Linked DNA regions of Danio rerio. The protein of the gene in region 3 binds, or shares a complex with, the protein of the main gene of each other region. Links are inferred from orthologs where the notes say so. Each region holds a gene or a part of one and is shown on either strand. Other genes may lie near its edges.

The links.
Region 1: the proteins of scap (region 3) and insig2 are in contact, whole or in part, in a cryo-EM structure (PDB 7ETW), measured with the Homo sapiens proteins. The link is inferred for Danio rerio from reciprocal best matches to the Homo sapiens genes SCAP and INSIG2. Residues at the interface, in NP_036367.2 of Homo sapiens: Pro200, Ser206, Val282, Ala283, Glu284, Ile286, Pro287, Thr290, Ile294, Ala297, Tyr298, Phe301, Lys305, Tyr351, Val354, Val355, Glu359, Thr409, Leu410, Val411, Ser638, Tyr639; in NP_001308258.1 of Homo sapiens: Phe41, Val45, Leu48, Leu49, Ile51, Val55, Leu57, Phe58, Pro59, Val62, Ser65, Ile66, Glu104, Trp105, Ser106, Met109, Arg110, Val112, Ala113, Val114, Val116, Gly117, His120, Gln132.
Region 2: scap (region 3) and rnf139 share a complex: the UniProt entries of both Homo sapiens proteins name them as parts of the SCAP-SREBP complex. The link is inferred for Danio rerio from reciprocal best matches to the Homo sapiens genes SCAP and RNF139.

The regions. Positions count from the first base shown.
Region 1 is NC_133184.1:726,300-733,289, reverse strand, and holds the start of insig2 (insulin-induced gene 2 protein), read right to left. Parts: upstream 3,894-6,990; 5' UTR 3,827-3,893; intron 2,764-3,826; 5' UTR 2,752-2,763; coding exon 2,520-2,751; intron 818-2,519; coding exon 693-817; intron 467-692; coding exon 300-466; intron 1-299. UniProt on the Homo sapiens protein: Oxysterol-binding protein that mediates feedback control of cholesterol synthesis by controlling both endoplasmic reticulum to Golgi transport of SCAP and degradation of HMGCR.
Region 2 is NC_133194.1:330,792-337,764, reverse strand, and holds the start of rnf139 (E3 ubiquitin-protein ligase RNF139), read right to left. Parts: upstream 4,121-6,973; 5' UTR 4,041-4,120; coding exon 3,878-4,040; intron 2,957-3,877; coding exon 1,125-2,956; 3' UTR 990-1,124; exon of another isoform or gene 1-989. Other genes in the region: deoxyribonuclease TATDN1, read right to left, coding at 4,979-5,084, 5,260-5,386, 5,516-5,586, 5,662-5,738, 6,806-6,846. UniProt on the Homo sapiens protein: E3-ubiquitin ligase; acts as a negative regulator of cell proliferation through mechanisms involving G2/M arrest and cell death.
Region 3 is NC_133191.1:45,483,807-45,490,114, reverse strand, and holds part of scap (sterol regulatory element-binding protein cleavage-activating protein), read right to left. Parts: intron 4,124-6,308; coding exon 3,923-4,123; intron 1-3,922. UniProt on the Homo sapiens protein: Escort protein required for cholesterol as well as lipid homeostasis.

The DNA.
Region 1 (6,990 bases), on a different chromosome or scaffold from region 3:
AACAGCCAATTAGAAGAAGGGGGCGGGGCATGTCAGAAAGATTTTAATCATGGTCTGAGGATTTGATGAGAAACTGAGGTATGAGCACACGACAAAAAATTCGTTGATTCCTTTAGGTGGGAGTGACAAACTGCAAATTTTACATGTTTATATCAGGTTTATATCTTCTACATGTGAGTTTGAGACACTAGCTCATAGATTTCCTTAAAACTACTGATGCTAACATCTAAAACACGTTATTTTATTTCATGTGACCCTCATCAGTAGCTCTCATTAGCTGAAGTGTGACAGAGACTCACTGAAAGACTCCGTTGTAGACCAGCAGCTGTGTGGCGAGCGTGGCGAGGATGGCGATGATCACTCCCAGTCCAAAACCACTGCGCGAGCGGTCAAACGTCCACCACAGGCCCACAGACAGAGCCGCTAGCGTCAGGGACAGCTGCACATTATTGGCAAAGTCCACCTTCTGTTGATGGCGGAGTTAAAGACAACACTTCACCCATCAGCAAGCTAACAATCCATCAGCACTTCACCCATCAGCACACTAATCACGCATAATCAGTTTGCAATATTGCATAATAAAATGCTTAAAGGGGTGGTCCACTATCAATACTCAGAAGAGTCAACTCTTCATTTATGCTGGGATCAGCTTTAGTGAGTAAACTCTGCGCTTCAGCAGTGGATCAGGATACAGCACTGGCGTGGTTGATGCCCACGAATACGGCAACGCAGCGCATCACATTGGACCACTCCCTCTTCAGCTTATGAGGCTCCCCGAGACGCCGGTCCATACAGGGGTACAGCAGACCAATCAGCGCTGGAGAAGAGAAGAAAAGAGGAGGAGCTCAGTGACACAAACACACACACACACACACACCCAAACAAAAACACATACAGACACAATTACACACACAAACACACACACACAAACAAAAACACATATAGACACAATTACACACACACACACACACACACACACAATTACACACACACCGAAACACACTAATATACAAATACACATAAACAAAAACACACACAAACAAACAAAAACATACACACTCAAACACACTCACACACAAACAAAACCACATACATAAACACACACACACACTCAAACAAAAAAGCACATACACACAAACAAAAGCACACACTCAAACACACTTACACACAAACACACGCTCAAACAAACACACACACACACAAACAAAAACACACACAGACACAATTACACACACAAACACACACAAAAAAACAATCACACAAACAAACACACACAAACAAAAACACATATAGACACAATTACAGACACAAACACACACACACACACACACACACACACACAAACAAAAACACATATAGACACAATTACACACACACACACACACACACACACACAATTACACACACACCGAAACACACTAATATACAAATACACATAAACAAAAACACACACAAACAAACAAAAACATATACACTCAAACACACTTACACACAAACACACACAATTACACGCTCAAACAAACACACACACACACAAACAAAAACACACACAGACACAATTACACACACAAACACACACAAAAAAACAATCACACAAACAAACACACACAAAGACACAATTACACACACACACACACAAACACACACACACACACACAGACAGACACAATTACACACACACCGAAACACACTAATATACAAATACACATAAACAAAAACACACACAAACAAACAAAAACATATACACTCAAACACACTCACACACAAACACACACACACACACACACACACACTCAAACAAAAAAGCACATACACACAAACAAAAGCACACACTCAAACACTTACACACAAACACACACAATTACACTCTCAAACAAACACACACGCACACAAAAAACACTCACACAAACAAACACACACAAACAAAAAAGCACATACACAAACAAAAACACACACACTCAAACACAAACAAAACCACATACACACAAACACACACAATTACACACTCAAACAAACACACAAACACACACACACTCACAAACAAAAACACACACAGACACAATTACACGTACAAACACACAGGCACACAAAAAAACTCACACAAACAAACACACACACTCAATCACACTCACAATCACACACAATTACACGCTCAAACAAACAAACAAACAAACGAACAACACACACACACACACACAAACAAAAAAACACACAAACAAAAAACAAACACTCACAAAAAACAAAAACATAAACAAACATACAAACAAACAAACAAAAACACACACCCAAACACACTCACAGACAAATAAATACACACAAACAAAAAAAGCACACACACACATAAACAAAAACACACAAACAAACAAACAAACAAACACACACACATAAATACATACATAACAATTACATGCTCAAACACACACAAAAAAAAAAAACACACACAAAGACACAAACAAACACGCACACACACAAAAAAAGCACACAGTCTACTCTCCGGTGAGCAGTGTAAGCAGCAGTACCTGCAGCCGTCCCGCAGCAGGGAGGAACCCACCAGGCGGAGGAGAAGATGCTGCTGATGACGTCTGGAGGGAAGAGCGTGACGTTCCTCTGCACCTGCAGCAGGTTCAGCACCAGCGCCAGAAACACTCCCACCGTGAAGAGCATGGCGGCGCGGATCAGCAGGTTCACACTGCGGCTGGTGATCATGCTGACGTACGGCCCGCGGCGCGACACTGACGAAACCTCCGACATCTCCTCACATGCCTACAGGACAGAAGGAGGACCAGCTCACCACACTTCTCCACAGTTCACATCAGGGCTCGCAAGAGGCCCGTTTCCACCGAGTGGTGCGGTTCGGTGCGCTTTTATGATCGATTCTGCTGTCAAAAGGTACCTAAAAGCGAACCGTACCATACCACTTTATTCAGTACGCCTACTAGTGTCCATCTCTCCATCTCATTAGCATAAACAGCAGCCCTGAGTGAGAAGCAGCCGTCTGTCCATTAGCCATTAGAGTGTTTGAGCTGCTGAAGATAACGTCAGCATAGACTAAGAGGATTATAGATGTGGAGCTTTAGATGAACAGCGACAGCAGCGACATAGACTGACAGAAGCATCAACACACACTCACACCTGACCAGCACTCACAACACACACACTGCTGTTTTACATCCGTCACTATGCTGACACGCAGGTGTTGGTAGCTCCGCCCTCTTCTGAAAAGAGCACAATCTCATTTGCATTTAAAGCGACAGTCACCAAAACGCCCCAATTAGGATTAAGGCCTGAAAGGGTCAGTTTCAGAGAGCTGGAGAACATTACCTGTGTGTTATTCTCAGCTCAAACACACACACTCTAGACACATTTACAGCTTGTAAAAAATGACATTATAGGTCCCCTTTAATTAAAAACATATAACATAACAGCAGCAGATCACTTTAGATAAAGCACACACACACACACACACACACACACACACACACACACACACACACACACACACACACGCCTGACAGGTTACTGCAGGTCAGTTGTTAGTTAAATAAATAAGTCTATCTGGTCGAGCAGCTCAAAGGCCACATCAGCATCAGGCCGATCAGCGTAAATAACAGTAAAATAAACACAGGCAGACAGTAACACACAGCACACTGACACAACACTAGCGGTCGAAGCTAATTATTATCCCTATATAACATACACAGCGGTGTAGCGCGACAACAGTAGCTTCCGACCCCCTGAGAGGTAAAACATTCATGAAGCTGAGATAAAATGCCTTATAAACGCTAAATGAAACAGGTGGTTCGTTAAGAATACACACATCTCTCACCTCTGCGTCGTTTGAAAGCAGCTCCGGCTTCTCTGAAATGAAATATTAAAGTCCTCAGCGAACGGACGGAGATCTTCTTGCGTGGATAATACTGCACTTCCGCCCTGCTGATACTAGCGCAGCCAATCAGAGCACGCGGTGGTGACGCAATGATTAAGCGCTAAAATGAAGCGCTAAATTTTTATTCCTCAAAATACTGAACACATTTTTTTTACTTGCACTTACTATTATGGTTAAATTAACAAAATGTGACTGATTTAAGCGGTCCTTTATTAGTATTAAAGAAGGTTTTTCTGATCAATAATGTACTTCTGCAAGCAAATACTTTTATTCACAATTATAAGTGTTTAAAGCTTGTAGGAATCACTGAATATATATTCAATAATGCCAGAAAAAGCTGGAATTTGTTAAAAATTATGTGAAAATGACAATTTAATAGTGTTTCACTTCCCTGAAACTGTTTTTACAGTCTGTGATTTATACTTAAGATTGATGGTATTATTATAGAAATACAAATCCTCTTTCTGTATTTGTTTATATTGTTGATTTCTTCTAGTTGTATACTATTTCTGAAACAAATAGGCCCATTCAAAACCTATATATATATATATATATATATATATATATATATATATATATATATATATAGGTTTTGAATACAAAATGGCATTCGACTTACAATTGTCTAATATCAATAGGGGGCCTATTTGTTTCAGAAATAGTATAAAACCTGGACAAAATAGGACAAAACCTGCAAAAACAATGAATAAATAAATATGCAAATATATAAAGAAATGAGTAAATATATCAATAAATTACTGCATAAATAACATAATAAATAAATAAAACAATAAATAAAATAATATGAAAATAAACAAATAAATGAATATAAATCTACAAATTACTGCACAAATAAAACAATAAATAAATACGCAAATAAATAAATAAACAAATAAATAAATACACAAATTCCTGCCTAAATAAAACAATAAATATGCAAATAAACAAATAAATGTACATTAAATTTACAAATTCCGGCAAAAAATAAAAAATAACTAAATATGCAAATAAATAAATAAACAAATAAATAAATAAATACACAAATTATTGCATACATAAAACAATAAATAAATAAATACACAAATAAACAATAAAATAAAAACACAAATTCCCGCATAAATCAAACAATAAATAAGTACATATGCAAATAAATAAACAAATAAATAAATAAATGAATATAAATCTACAAATTCCTGCGTAAATAAAACAATAAATAAATACGCAAATAAATAACCTGATATAAACAAATCCACAATTTCCTGCATAAATAAATACATAAATAATTAATAGTCCAGGAAGGTAAAAAATTAAATAAATTACAAGGGGAATAAGAAAATGCTAAACTGAGAGTTTTATTTTTTCAAAACAAAAGTTTGAAAGGGCAGACAATAAATTTTCAGTTTAGCATTTTCTTGTTTCCCCAATATTCGTGTAATTTATTTAATTATTTACCTGCCCACATTATTAATTAGTTATATATTGATTTATGCAGGAGTTTGTGGATTTTTATATCCATTTATTAATTTATTTGCACATTTATTATTTCATTTATGCAGGAATTTATGGATTTATTTACTCATTTATTTATATATTTCTATATTTATTTATTTTTGTATTGTTTTTGCAGGTTTCGTCGTCCATACGATTGATCTATCTCTTTATTGCTATATTGATGAGAGACTGCTACATAAAAAATATAAATAATTATCGTTAACTTCCTGCCGCAGCTGTATCTCTTCTAGCAACAGCCAAAGAAAACACAGTCGTGTAGTCTCGCGTTACTTGTGTCACAGCACATCATCTCACCTCCCATTTCCGCTCTAAATTTTCACATTCCCGCCATCATCGGAAGCTCGTGGGACTCGAGCGCAGAATCTCCATCATCACAGCCGGCAAAACTCACCCGCAGACATCAAACCTCGCCCGGAGCATACGCTGATCCTCCAGCGGCCCCTCCGAGGACTCTCCCACCCCCAGGTAAGCGCGCCGCGCCCCGCAGAGCCCACCGGGAGCCGCTTTTCTCCAGAATGAGCTATTCTCACGGCCCGGGATGCTAATGCTAGCTGATTAGCTGCGTGCGGAGGATGCTGGAGCGCGAATTCATCAGAAAACCGCAGAATAAAAAGTCAAACTCGGTGCTCAGACGCGGGAAGGTGTGTATGTTCGAGTGAGGGAGCGAGTGTGTGTTTGCGTGCGTGTGTGTACTGTGTGCGCGCCTTGAGGGAGAAGCTGCAGGGTCTGTCCAGGTAAAGCGCGCGATTGAGGTAAAGTTAATCTTATATTCGCACATTCAGACTTCCTCCGTAATATACTGATTTTGCACATTTTACATTGTGAAATCGTATTAGTAAGAAAAGTCAGAAAGTACAACATTTCTCACAGTTAATTAAATAGTGCTAATGCTGTCTTGAAGTCATGCAGATTGAATATTGTGGTAAACCTTATATGGACCGTGTCATGAGCTGTCACTGACCGAATGTGCGACTATAAAGCCAGCTTTACCTCAGTAAGCGCGAGGATAGTCCTCCTGACATGCTGTTTGTTTACTTCTAGTCTTGACTCGCTAGTTAACTTCTCCAAACACTTCATGGCGTGATAAACGAGCGCTGCTGTGCAGGTCAGTTGGCTTACTTCCAAACATCAGAGGTTAAGATCAACGAATTTCCAACGACCGTTAGCGGTGAGGGATTGTTGTTTGTTTGTGTCATTATATAATATAATTGAATTTATAATAAATGTTGTTTAGCGTAGATTATTTTAGCATGACGCTTGTTTTGTTCCGAGTTTAACAAACACTCATTCTTTAACGTTACACGCGCACGTTACTTTTACACGGTTTGTTTGTTTTTGTCATTAACGTAAAAGTATAGTAACGTAAATGTTGCTGTTAAACTCAGATTATTTTAGCATGACACTTTCGGTTTTCTGGAACCCTGCTAAAAATCCAACTTAAAGCAGCCTAGGCTGGTTTTAGCTGGTCAACCAGACTAGTTTTAGAGGGGTTTTGGCCATTTCCAGGCTGATTTCCAGCCATTTCTATTCTGGTCTTAGCTGGACAAGTTGGAAAAGACCAGCTAAAACCAACTTGACCAGCCTGGTTTAAG
Region 2 (6,973 bases), on a different chromosome or scaffold from region 3:
ATGGAACTCTATGCTAGTTTTTAACAGCAGATAGCGCCCTAGGCAAGTGTTTTAAAAAAGTAAAACATGCTCTAGGCTAGTTTTTAACTGCAGGTACCGTCTTATTTGATGTTCAAAACTAGCCTAGAGCGCCATGTGCACTAATAAAAACAGCCTAGAGAGCCATCTGCTGTTAGAAACTAGCCTAGAGCACCATCTGCTGTTAGAAACTAGCCTAGAGCAACATCTGCTCTATGGTGTTTTAGGCTATATTACACCAGCTAATGCTGTTGTAGGCTAGTGTTTAACAGCAGATGGCACTCAAAGCTAGTATTAATAAAGCAGATCGCGCTCTAGGCTAGTTTTTTTTAAAAGTAACACATGCTCTAGGCTCGTTTTTTACTGCAGACAGCACCCTGCTGATGTTCAAAACTAGCCTAGAGCTCCATCTGCTCTATTAAAACTAGCCTAGAGCACCATCTGCTGTTGTAAACTAGCCTAGAGCGGCATCTGCAGTTGTAAACTAGCTTAGAGCGCCATCTGCTGTTTTAAAACAGCCTAGAGCTCCATCTGCTCTATTAAAACTAGCCTAGAGCACCATCTGCTGTTGTAAACTAGCCTAGAGCACCATCTGCTGTTGTAAACTAGCCTAGAGCACCATCTGCAGTTGTAAACTAGCCTAGAGCGCCATCTGCTGTTTTAAAACAGCCTAGAGCGCCATCTGCTGTTTTAAAACAGCCTACAGCGCCATCTGCTGTTTTAAAACAGCCTAGAGCACCATCTGCTTTTATAAAATAGCCTAGTGCACCATCTACTGTTGTAAACTAGCCTAAAGCGCCATCTGCTGTTTTAAAACAGCCTAGAGCGCCATCTGCTGTTTTAAAACAGCCTAGAGCACCATCTGCTGTTTTAAAACAGCCTAGAGCACCATCTGCTTTTATAAAATAGCCTAGAGTGCCATCTGCTGCTGTAAACTAGCCTAGAGCGCCATCTACTGTTGTAAACTAGGCTCAGAATTAATTCAAGCGAAAAAAGCGACGCAATTCAAAAATCTCAGGATCAATGCAGAATGGATTTCTCGAACAATTTCTGGCCACAGATCTAAAAAATACACAACGTCCCTGATCTTAAATATCCCCGCTGGTTCAGTTGGAGTCTGTGTCGTCATTAATGTAGTCCTCCTCGATGAGCGTGACGCCGGGCTGCGTTCCCCACTCCTCCTCGTCATACTCAATACTGTCATTATCCTCCAGCAGCTCGTTCTCAGGCTCCGCCCCTGCCGCAGCCACGCCGTCCTCAGCTCCACCCTCATTCTCCTCAAACTCCGCCCTCTCCTGTCCTGCTGCCCCGTATCCGTTATTATTAGAGAAGGTGGAGCGCTCGCTGGTGTCGTCCTCGATGTAGACGCGCTGGTGGCACATGGGGCACGTGTCCTGGATGTACAGCCACTTGCGCAGGCAGAGCGCGTGGAAGTAATGGCTGCAGGGCGTGATGCGCGCCGACGAGCCGAACTCCTGATAGCAGATGGCGCAGACGTCCTCGATGTCCCGCAGCCGCGAGCCTCGCACCTCCGGCAGAGAGTTGATCTTCTTGACAGCCGTGCGCCGGTTAATGAACGTTTTCCAGCCGTTTTTGGCTTGCAGGTAAATGTTAAAATACGCATGAAGGCACATCATGCACGCGCGGATCTTACTCCCCGACTCAAACATCATCGTGTACGCCCCGTTTCCGAACATGATCACGCCGAATATGAACTCAATCACGTTGCCAGTAGAGCGCACGTAGTAGACGTAATCGTCCAGCTTCTCCCACAGCACATTGTAGAACCCGTCCATCATGAACAGCGCGTATACCGTGAGCGACACCAGAACCTTCAGACACAGCTCGATGCAGAACGCCGTGACGGCGAACAGCCACGTGTTGAGCGCGTAATGATGCCACAGCAGGAAACTGAGCAGGACCGGCAGCGTAAACAGAACTAGCGACACGAGCAGAACCGGCACATGTCTGCGCACTGACGACACGTGCGACGCGCTGAGAGACATGAGCACCGGATCCGTCATCCCGTGGATGAAATGCAGAATCGCCGTTAGCAGAAGGCACATGTTCCTGCTGAGCCGCACCAGCCGCTCCTCGGGGTCCAGGCCGCTTAGACCCGTCTGCAGCGCCAGGATGAAGAACAGCACGGGCGCAACAAACCCCAGCCGCTTATCCTCCTCCTCTGTGGAGCCGATGAACGCTAGGATGCTAAGACCCAAGTAATGCGCTAGAGATGATATGACTGCGCTCATCCCGAGGACAGTTAGCGTCGAGTCGCAGCCGCTAATGATCAGATTACTGGACAAATCCCACAACACGTCCCATCCGAGCTGCATGCCGCTTTCAGAGCGCACCACGCGCACCACGTACAGCAGGATGACGGCCTGCGCGGTCACGCGGGTTAGCCAGAACACGCGCAGGATGTCAGGGAAGCGGATGCGCTTCCAGGTGTCCTCCAGCAGCAGCTGCAGGCCGTAGATGCGGTACATGTGGCGCAGCAGCAGGTAGACGTAGCGGCAGGAGTAGTAGAACCACTTCAGCTTCAGCAGCAGGTTTAGCGCGGCGTGTGTTGCTAAGATCACTCCTGATGCTATCGCTAGCACCTGCTTCATGTCGGCCGGCAGCTCCAGTATCAGCCCCCACAGCGGCGCCATGATGTCCAGCAGCAGGAGAGCAGCGCACACCGACCGCACGCGCAGCAGCGCCACATAGCCCAACCCCAGCAGCAGCTGCATCAGCGCTAACGCTAGCCAGAGCGTCGGCCCGTCCCGCGGCAGCACTGCAGCACTGTTGTATGCGCTGTAGAAGTCGGCGTGTGCCGTGGCGTAGTAGTTGACCAGCACTGACGCCGCGCCCAGCAGAACAGCCATGAAGAGCGTGTAGAACTTGAACAGGGACTTCTGGGAAAGCACCAGAACCACACCGGACACCACAATACCTGCAGGACAGACAGCAGAACACTGAGAATCAGCACGGATACAGTAGAGCTGCACAATACATCATTCAGCATCCATAATCTGCACCATATATGCTCGATTCACATGGGCTTCAGCATCAACCCTTGACAGAGGGCGTGTCTGAAGTGTCTGACGCGATCGTCATAGCAGCGTCAGCCAATGAAATTAGTCAGCAATCAGCTACTGTGTGAGCTGGTGTATTTGCATTAGGGTTAGTAGTTTATTAGTCTTCAGTAGTTTATATTATTCTGTTTTTAATAGCAATTTAGTTATGCCAGAAAATATATCGTTTTGCAAAAAATGTCTGCGTTTAAGAACAGAATGAAGGACGCGTCACCTTAAATTTACTTTAGATTATCTTGTAAATAAATTGTATTATGAATCGTGAGTCGGGGGAATCGGTACATCTCTAGTTGTCTGAACATTTCAGATCATCTCTCGTCTTTGTGTATTAGTGTGTTGAGCTCTGATAGTGTTGATATGTTGTCTATATGTTGTCTGAATGTTTTAGTACACCTCTCGTCATCTGTGTATGTTAGTGTGTTGAGCAGTGTCAGTGTTGTTATGTTGTCTATATGCTGTGTATGTCTGGTCATCTGTGTGTGTTGAGTTGTGATATGTAGTTTGGATGTTGTGTATGTGTTGTCTGAATGAGCAGTGTCATTGTTGATATGTTGTGTATAGTATATATAATTGTGAGTGTGTGTGTGTAGTGGAGGGTCAGCTCTACAGCAGTGCATGAATCTGTCAGGTTTCCGTTTCCTCAACACGCGCGCGGCTCGAGCTGTCAGTCAGTCCGTCAGTCGGTGGTGTTTTGAGGCCCGGTGTTTTCAGCGCTATAAGCTGATAAGCAGAAAGCCTAAAAGAGCAGATTTAACACCGGTATGGAATCCCGCACTCACCCAGCGCGCGGATCAGGGCTCTCCCGGCGGCGCCGCTCCATCCGGTACCGGGATCAGAGTACGAGTTCAATATGGCGTCGATTATAAAGATGCTCGGGACCCGCAGAACCACATCCAGCACGGCAAGGAAGTGCTGACCCAGCCGCCCGTGAGCGGAGGCCATGGCGCTGATGCCGGTGTCCGGGAACCGCGGCTCTCGGTGTCAGGACTCGGTTCGATGTCAGGCAGGATCTCCACCGGTCGCCATTTTGGCTCTGCTGCTGTTGCTATGTGAGGAACGCGGAAGTGGCAGAGCGCATGCGCAGACTACAGAATACTACACTACAGCACCGGCGCCCGGCTTTAGTATTATTCAAAGCTTCTTTAAGAGTTAAAATGTCTCAGTTTGTAGTTCAGATAAATTGTGCTTTGTGTTTGTAATTATTGTTTGTACAATGACAAAAAACTATTTTAAAATATTTCAATTCAAGAAACTTCTTTTATTCCATACGTGTTTAATTAATATAATTCAGTTTAAAATACAATGCTTTAATATAAAGTATAGCTGCGTATGAATCCTCATGCTCTTAATAACCCTAATACAAACTTCTGTAGTGTAGAATCATCTGTTCTTCTGTAATGTTTTATTTTAAACGTGACCGTTCCAGTTATGTTAATGAGCAACTCATGAATATTAACTAACTGGTTTAATAATAAAGCAGTGGGCCTACATAGCCTGTAGTGCAGTGTCATTAATAGAATATTTCATCTTTAAATTGCATGTGTTTTTATTTTCATATTAATACGATTTACATTATTTTATTTGAAGAATATATGTGCCTTTATCTTCAATTTTAGTTATGCATTTATTAATTACAATTAGTAATATTAATACTTCAAATGAATGTAATATTTCAGTTTTATTTATACTTCATCTTCTTTTCTGTTAATAAACACATCATAGTTTGGGTGTATGATGATAATAAGCCACGACAGAACATGTGTGTGTTGTCATATTTTCTTTTATTGAGTGTGTGTGTGTGTGGGGTTATGGGAGAGTCCTACTGAAGATATGTCTATTGGTGTGTGTGTGTGTGTGTGTGATACACAGCCAGTGTTTCCTCATGAGCGGTTCTTGAAGAACAGTGTGTCGGTGTTGTTGAAGATGGTTTCAGCGAGATCCAGTGGATCCTCCTCCCTGACAGCGGCCATCACCTCCAGCACCTGTCTGAAACACACACACACACACACACACACGCACACGCACACGCACACACACAAGCATTTGAGTGTGCAGCTAAACATGCATGAACACAAACACTTCAGCAGGATTCTTGCTCATACAAACACACAGTCTTCAGCAGGACACACACACACACACACACTCTCTGTCTCTCACACACATGATGTGGCAGGGCTCGTTCCTGTCCTTCACACAGTGTCCCGTCTCCCACTTCTTCTTGGTGGGGAAGCTGGTCTTGATCAGTTTGGCTCCAGCGTGAGTGTTTTTAATGCCGCACCACGGAGCGTCTGCAGAGGAAATCAACACACACACACACACACTCACTCACTCACTCTGCCTCCAGACACTTATGTTATGCACATATTGGAATATCACATGGAATGATGCAGATAAACGAATAATGAGAGCCTCTGCACCTGTTTCGATCATCAGTCTGTCAGACGGGATGGACTTCATCACCTCCAGATTCTCTGCTGTCTTTAAGGAGCTGAAACACAGGAGGAAAACCCGCCAGTGATGAACAAACCCGGAGATGAAGATCCTTCAGAGACGCTGCACTCACCAGCCGTTAATACCAATGTAGAGATCCAGATCAAGAAGAGCCGCCGCGTCCTGCTGAGAGCCGTCGAACGAGTGCACCTGAAACACAAGAGGAAACACTGGGAAATCACTGAGAAAACATTGAGCAAACACTGAGGAAATACCAAGGAAACACTGAGGAAAACTAGAGGAAATACTGTGGAAACACTGAGGAAAAACTGAACAAACAATAGGCAAACACTGAGGAAACAATTAGAAAACAACAGGAAAACTTGAAGACAACTGAGGAAACAACAAGGAAACACTGGGAAATCACAGAGGAAACAATGAGGAAGCAATAAGTAAACACTAAGGAGAATACTGAGGAAATAGTAAGGAAGCAGCAAGGAAACAGAGAAAAACAAGAGATCATACTGAGGAAACTGCAAGGAAACACTGAGAAAACAGTGAAGAAACAACAAGGAAAAAATAAAAATACAGGGGAAACAACAAGAAAACACTGAGGAAATACTGAGGAAACAATCAAGAAACACTGGAGGAAACATTGAGGAAACACTGAAGAAATAAAGAGGAAACGACGAGGAACGAAAGAGGAAATATTGAGGAAACACTGAGAAAACACTGAGGAATCACTGAGGAATCAATGAAGAAATAAGGAGGAAACAACGAGGAAATATTGAGGAAACAATAAAAAGATAAGGATGAAATAATCAGGAAACAATGAGGAAACAATGAAGAAACATTGGAAAGTCATTGAGGAAACATTAAGAAAACATTAAGAAAACACTTAAGAAACGTTGAGAAAACATTGAGGAAACACTGAGGAAACAAGGAGGAAACAATCAGGAAACACTGAGGAAACAATGAAGAAATAATGAGGAAATATTGAGGAAACATTGAGGAAATAAGGAGGAAACAATCAGGAAAACTTGAGGAAACACTGAAACAAATGATGGAGCATGGAGAAAATGAAAAAAATAATGAGCAAAATCTGGAAAACAGTATGGGGAAATAACAAGGAAACACCCAGGAAACACAAGAAAACCTTTAGGATGAAAGAAATTAGGATTCACTAAAAAACAATAAGAACATTGAGGAAACAACAGAGGAACAGCGAAAACACAGAGGAATAATGAAGCACTGAGAATGAGGAACACATCACTCACCACTCCACCAACACACCGCTGTCTGTTCCTCCTCATGATGTCTGTGACACACACACACACACACACACACACACACACACACACACACACACACACACACACACACACACACACACACACACACGGTGAGTTTATTACCACACTCATCGTGACACACTCTTCTGCATG
Region 3 (6,308 bases):
TACAATTTTCTCCATTTAAAACTATACGAGTGACATGTCTTGTGTATTCTATAGTCTTTGATTATACTGATTAAAAAAACAAACCAATAAAACAACCACATTTTATAGACAGTATTATGTTATTAACTGTGACTATTTTTTATATTATTCTTTTAGAGCAGGGGTGCCCAAACTTGGTCCTGAAGGGCCGATTTACTGCATAGTTTAGCTCCAATTTGCTTTACCATACCTGCCTGGAAGTTTCTAGTATAGCTAGAAAGAGCTTGATTAGCTGAGTTTGATGTGTTTAATTAGGGTTGTAACTAAAATATGCAGCACACCAGCCTTCCAAGACCGAGTTTGGGCACCCCTGTTTTAGAAACATAATTTTATCATCATTAGATGACTGCACAGTAGAGCTATTGCAAGCAACAAATGCAAGCATGTTAAAAAGAAATGAACGTTGGTGGACTCTACGTGTAATTTGAATGGACTTTCCTATTCTGGTGAGCATGAATGATTTATGCATTGATATTCTTAAATCATTATTTTTGCTTTATGACCACACAAAATAGTCTCGTAGCTTGATAATATACTGATTGAATCACATAAGACAATGTGGTCTGTTTTTGAGGCTGTTTTTGGTTACTTTCTGGACTTGTGCGTAGAAAAACCATGAAACATGGAGGATAAGACAGCTCTCCAATTTCACCTAAAATATCTCAATTTGCGCCAAGATGGCACAGTGGGTAGCGCTGTTGCCTCACAGCTAAAAGGTCGCTGGTTTGAGCCGCAGCTGAGTCACTTGGCATTTATGTGTGGAGTTTGCATGTTCTCCACGTGTTTGTGTGAGTTTTCTCTGGGTGCTCCTTAGTCCAAAGATAGAGCTATTGGTGAATTGGATAAGCTGAATTGTCTGTATTGTATGTGTGTGAATGAGTGTGTATGGATGTTTCCCAGTCATGGGTTGCAGCTGGAAGGGCATCCGCTGCATAAAACATATGCTGGATAAGTTGGGGGTTCATTCCACTGTGGCGACCCCTGATTAATAAAGGGACTAAGCTAAAGAGAAAATGAATGAATATCTCAATTTGTATGACATGAGGGTGAGTAATTAATAAAGAATTAAAAATTTTGGGTGAACTAACCCTTTTGTGTCAAGTCAAGCTTTTCCACATATCTGCACTTTCTGTTTTCCAGCTCCAAAAGGACTGACAAGTAGTTTCCACCATCACAAAAGCCTACTTCTTTTCCTCCAGACACTGGGCTACACACCGAGAGAAGCGTTCACACACTCACTCTTTTCCACATGGATTGCCCTTTATCTGAAGCATCAGAGTCTTAATTCACATTTTGCTGACAGAGGCCAAATGAAAAGGCATGAGAAAAACATTTTCTCCTGTTCTTAGTACCAGTTTTGTGTTTGCGATACAGACAGTCCTCTTGGCATGATCCTACATTTGATACACACTGTGCAGAACAACCAACCACAAGACAAATTAATTCCTTTTCCATCACCTCACACGTCTTAACATCACAAAACATCCCACCCCGAGATTTTATAGGTGATTTCACAGCAGCACAAAAGAACACGCAGTGCTTCAAAAATTGATAGAGCTGTGGATTTTTGGTCTTGTGCACAACACTTCCATGCATTTCCTTCAAATTCATTCTGCAATAGTGGGATGCCACAACAAAAGCTTGCCCACCATGACTGCAGGTTGTCACTGACATCATCATATCATTGCATTTGGGTATTTTATAGCGGAGGAGACAGAAGGGTCACACAGCAGACAAAAAAAATCAGTGCACCATGTGATTAAAATGTGGACATTCAGAAGACAGTTCAATATCCTGCCAGTGCACAGAGAGCTTCTCACATCACTTTACCTTAAATTAAATTGTAATTGTCTTAAATAGTTGTTAACAAGCCTACAAGGCTGGAAGGTTGTGTTTAGTGCATCTTTTAGAAAACAGGGTTTCTGCAGGTTTCACCAAGTCAAACTTAAGATTTTTTAAGACCAGTATGAAGTAAATTTCAGATTTACATGGGGCTAAGCACTAGGGATTGTTTGTAATGGCATGGTGGGGCCAATGAAAAAGATTTGAACTTGCCTCATCGAACAAAATTTTAATTTAGTTATACCTTAATCACGTTTTATATTTGTCAAAACAAGCAAAATCTAGTTGAAATATTTACAAAACTATATTAAACAAAACGTATGCACAAGAGTGTGTCTAAAACACATAGAGAATTTTTACTATTGGTAAATAGAGGTAAATATTTAACTTTTTTTAACGTTTTATGTTTTAAAGATGAATTATTGGTTATTGGTAAGCCCGATCAGGTAACTTTACTAAGACATAGGAAAATTAAGACCCGTTTAAAATGATTAAAGACCACACAATTTACAACACGGCTTTCCAGTAAATTTAAGACCTTTTAAGGCCTTTAGTTTTTAAAATGCAAGACATTTAAGACCCCACAGACAACCCTGCAAATGCTCATTTTCCTGTGGTTTGAAAAAGTGTGTATGTTTTGAATAAGAGCTGATGTTTTTGATCTTATTTTTTTAACCTGCAAACTCATCAACATCCCTTTGTTGACTTAAACTCTTAAATTTAACTTCTGCATGTTTGTTGTTTAGATCAACTAATTTAAGCTAGATCGGAAGTAGGGCTGAGTATCGAAGGTGATATTTTTAAGCACTAACCAAACTGTCTCAATTCTAGTATCTATGAATGTCTTGTCTGACGGTACAAAGTATCGATACCTTAATGAATAAAATGACATAAGTGTTAGTGAATTGCATGTGTAGGATGGCAAATCTATGGAAAAAATAACTGAACTAAAATAAATAAACAGATGCTGGCAGCCTAGGTGAATTGTTTCTGCGAGAGGATACGATGTATACATAGAAACGAAAGTCCATTCATGCAAAAGCCCAGCACAGTTTCGAATTTAAAATATCATATCAAAAACTTTTAAATGGTACGCAGCCCTAACTTGACGTGAAATGTTGTGTCCAGTGTGTGATACCTGTGAAGCTGTTGTAGATGTTATTTAACCCTTAAAACATTATAGACTGTAAAAAATAGCCATGGATTCAATGGTAAAAAAACTGTAAAATGCTTCAGATGCTAAATATATGTGTCACACTTTAGTTTAAGGTTCAATTCTTGCTATTAACAAACCATTAACAAAGACTTTTAGCTCAATAAAATACTAATGTGCTGCTTATTAATAGTTAGTTAGGTACCTTAGGGTATTGATGTAGAATAAGAACATATTTTATAAGTACTATATAATAGCCAACATCCTAATCATAGGCAGGTAATACACCAGTCATTAATAGTGGGAATTGTTACTTAAATAAAAATATGTTACCAGAATAACAGTCAGTGTCCTTATGATGAATCACAAAAAATTTACTTTCCAAAATTCCTTTAGTGACACTTCAGTTTATCGTTTGGCATTTCTTTCTTCTTATTTGTTTTGTACATTAGAGTATGATACTGAATCTAATGTTATTAATAATATTTATTGCATTAATTAGTGTCATGTATTACCATGGTGGTGGAGTATTAACATTTTATAATTTAATGAAATACAGTAGTTTACTGTAAACATAGAATAGCTTTCCTGCTTATTTTGTAGCTAAAATTCTGCCAATCAAAGAGAATTTTAGTCATTTTTATTTAAAGGTGTACACTACTGACTGACAGAGGACCACCTGCCCCCTCTCTGGTATGACTTTGTCCATGATAGAGTCATCCTACTATTATTTAAATAGTGAAGTAAATGATTAACAGTAGATTTACAGCCTGTGTGTGAGTACAGCGATGTTTGTGTGGATAGTCCTTGCATCCTGCCACCACAGGTAAATTAAACATTGTGCTTCACTGCTACTTATCAATAATAAAAGCATATGTGCAGGCTCACCAGCAGGTCAGGATGCTGGCAGAGGTGAAGAGAATGATGGGAACCGGGTATGAGGCGCATAGCAGGCCGTGCCGGTAGAAGGCGGCCGAGATGTTCTGCCGAAGCCGCTCTCTCACCGTCATCCTGGGCGCGGGGGTCAGCTGATGGCCATCGAGTCTGCGTGTGCGGCCAGGGCGAGGGCACCGCCGGGCATCCAGGGATCTGTGCAAATATGTACACAACCCAAGTGTAAATAGAGCTGGAGAATTTCATTCATGGTGTGAAGAGATTTACCTGTTCTTCTGCTGACTGATAAAAAAAACTAAATCAAACACTTTTTTTAAGAGTATTTGATACACATTTAAAGTATTATGGACATTTTATCACTCTCATTCAGCCACAGGATATTATGGGAAATCTGTAACAAACCTGTCAAGTTTTTAATTTAACACTAGACAAGCATTAGTGCTTCTCAATAAAGTTCAATTTTTTAGCATTATATAATTATTTCAGAATCAAAAACTATTTTTTTTGCATTCGTTAACATATTAAGTTAACATTTAACTTAATAATATTTACAATGCTGCTTTGTTTTTAATATATTAACTTGAATGAATCATACATAATAAATACAAAAGAAAACGATGTGTTAGAGAGAGTTTTGACTCTATTGCCATATTATTATTTTATTATACCTCACATTTATATAGCGCTTTACACATTTTTGGGGGAATCTCCTTAACTACCACCACTGTGCAGCATCCACCTGGATCATGCAACAGCAGTTATATTGCGCCAGACAGCACACCAGACAACAGATTATTGGTTGACAGGAGACAGAGTGATGAAGCCAATTATGATATGGGGACGGTCAGGTGGCCAGTGGGAAATATGGCCAGGATGCCAGGGTTAAACCCCTACTCCTTTTTTTAAAAGACATCCTGGGATTTTTAACAACCTCGGTTTAACATCTCATCCGAAAGACGGTGCTCACTGACAGTATAGAGTCCCCATCGATATAGTGATGCGTTAGGACCCACACAGACTGCAGGTTGAGCGCCACTGCTGGTCTAACTAACACCACTTCTGGCAACAACCTAGCTTTCCCACGTGGTCTCCAGGTACTGACCAGGCTACTGACCTAGCTTCAGTGGGCGACCATGTGAGAGTTGCAGAGAGCTAGCTGCCGGCCAATATCCGCTTCTCTGGCTATTTCATGGCAAAATGTACATTTTATAAATATCACTTTTCTGCAATAAAACAAAAATTATAAAGACATCGACAGCAATAAATAATACAAAAGAAAATTAAATGTTTTTAAGGTTTACTTTAAATTCTACCATTTTTGAAGGATCCACATTTAAAAATATTTCCCTTAAAGTGTCTCCAGGTTAAAATCGTTGTCTGATTATAATAAAAATCCGCTTGTTAAGTCGTGATGTTTGAAATACTCTTTCCAGGTCCAAGCCGCTACTCATTTAAAAGGAGAAAATATTTGTTTATGACCACTTTTTAGTCACATCACACATTAAAGTGAATTTTATATAAAATCATGGTGTACACATCAGTCTCTGGACTTGCTGCATCACAGTCACCAATATTTTAACAATTTATAAATAATTAATCAATCACTTTCTGGCCATCGGATATTAGGTATGAATATATATATACTGCTCGATTATGGGAAAAATCATAATCACGATTATTTTGGTCATAATTGTAATCACGATTATTCAAAACGATTATCAGTTGAAGTCAAAAATATTCATCCTCCAGTGAATTTATTTTTATATATAAATATTTCCCAAATTATGTTTAACAGAGGGATTTCTTTACAGTATTTCCTATAATATTTTTTTCTCCTGGAGAAAGGCTTATTTGTTTTGTTTCAGCTAGAATAAAAGCAGGTTTGAATATTTTGAAATCTATTTTAATAGCTCGATATAATTAGCCCCTTTAAGCAATACATATGTTTGATTGTCTGCAGAAGAAACTACTGATATACAATGACTTGTCTATTTACCCTTATTAAGCCTTTGAATGTCACTTTAAGCTGAATACTAGTATCTTGAAAAACATCTAGTAAAATATAATGTACTGTCATCATAGCAAAGATAAAAGAAATCAGTTATTAGAAATGAGTTATTAAATCTGTTATGTTTAAACTGTGCTTTAAGCATCTTCACTGTATTTTTAATTTTATTATTAATTAATAATATAAACAGTCGGCAGCAGCAGGAATACCGCACGCTCACTTTAAGAATAGTGCGGCTCTGATATGGTTTCTCGTGTCTTTTGATTCTCAACTTGTTAGTTTATTACACAAATGAGGGTTAATATGAATAATCACTAAACACCGCGCTCTGACACAAATGTGCATGTATTTCACCATTACAGCGCTCACATT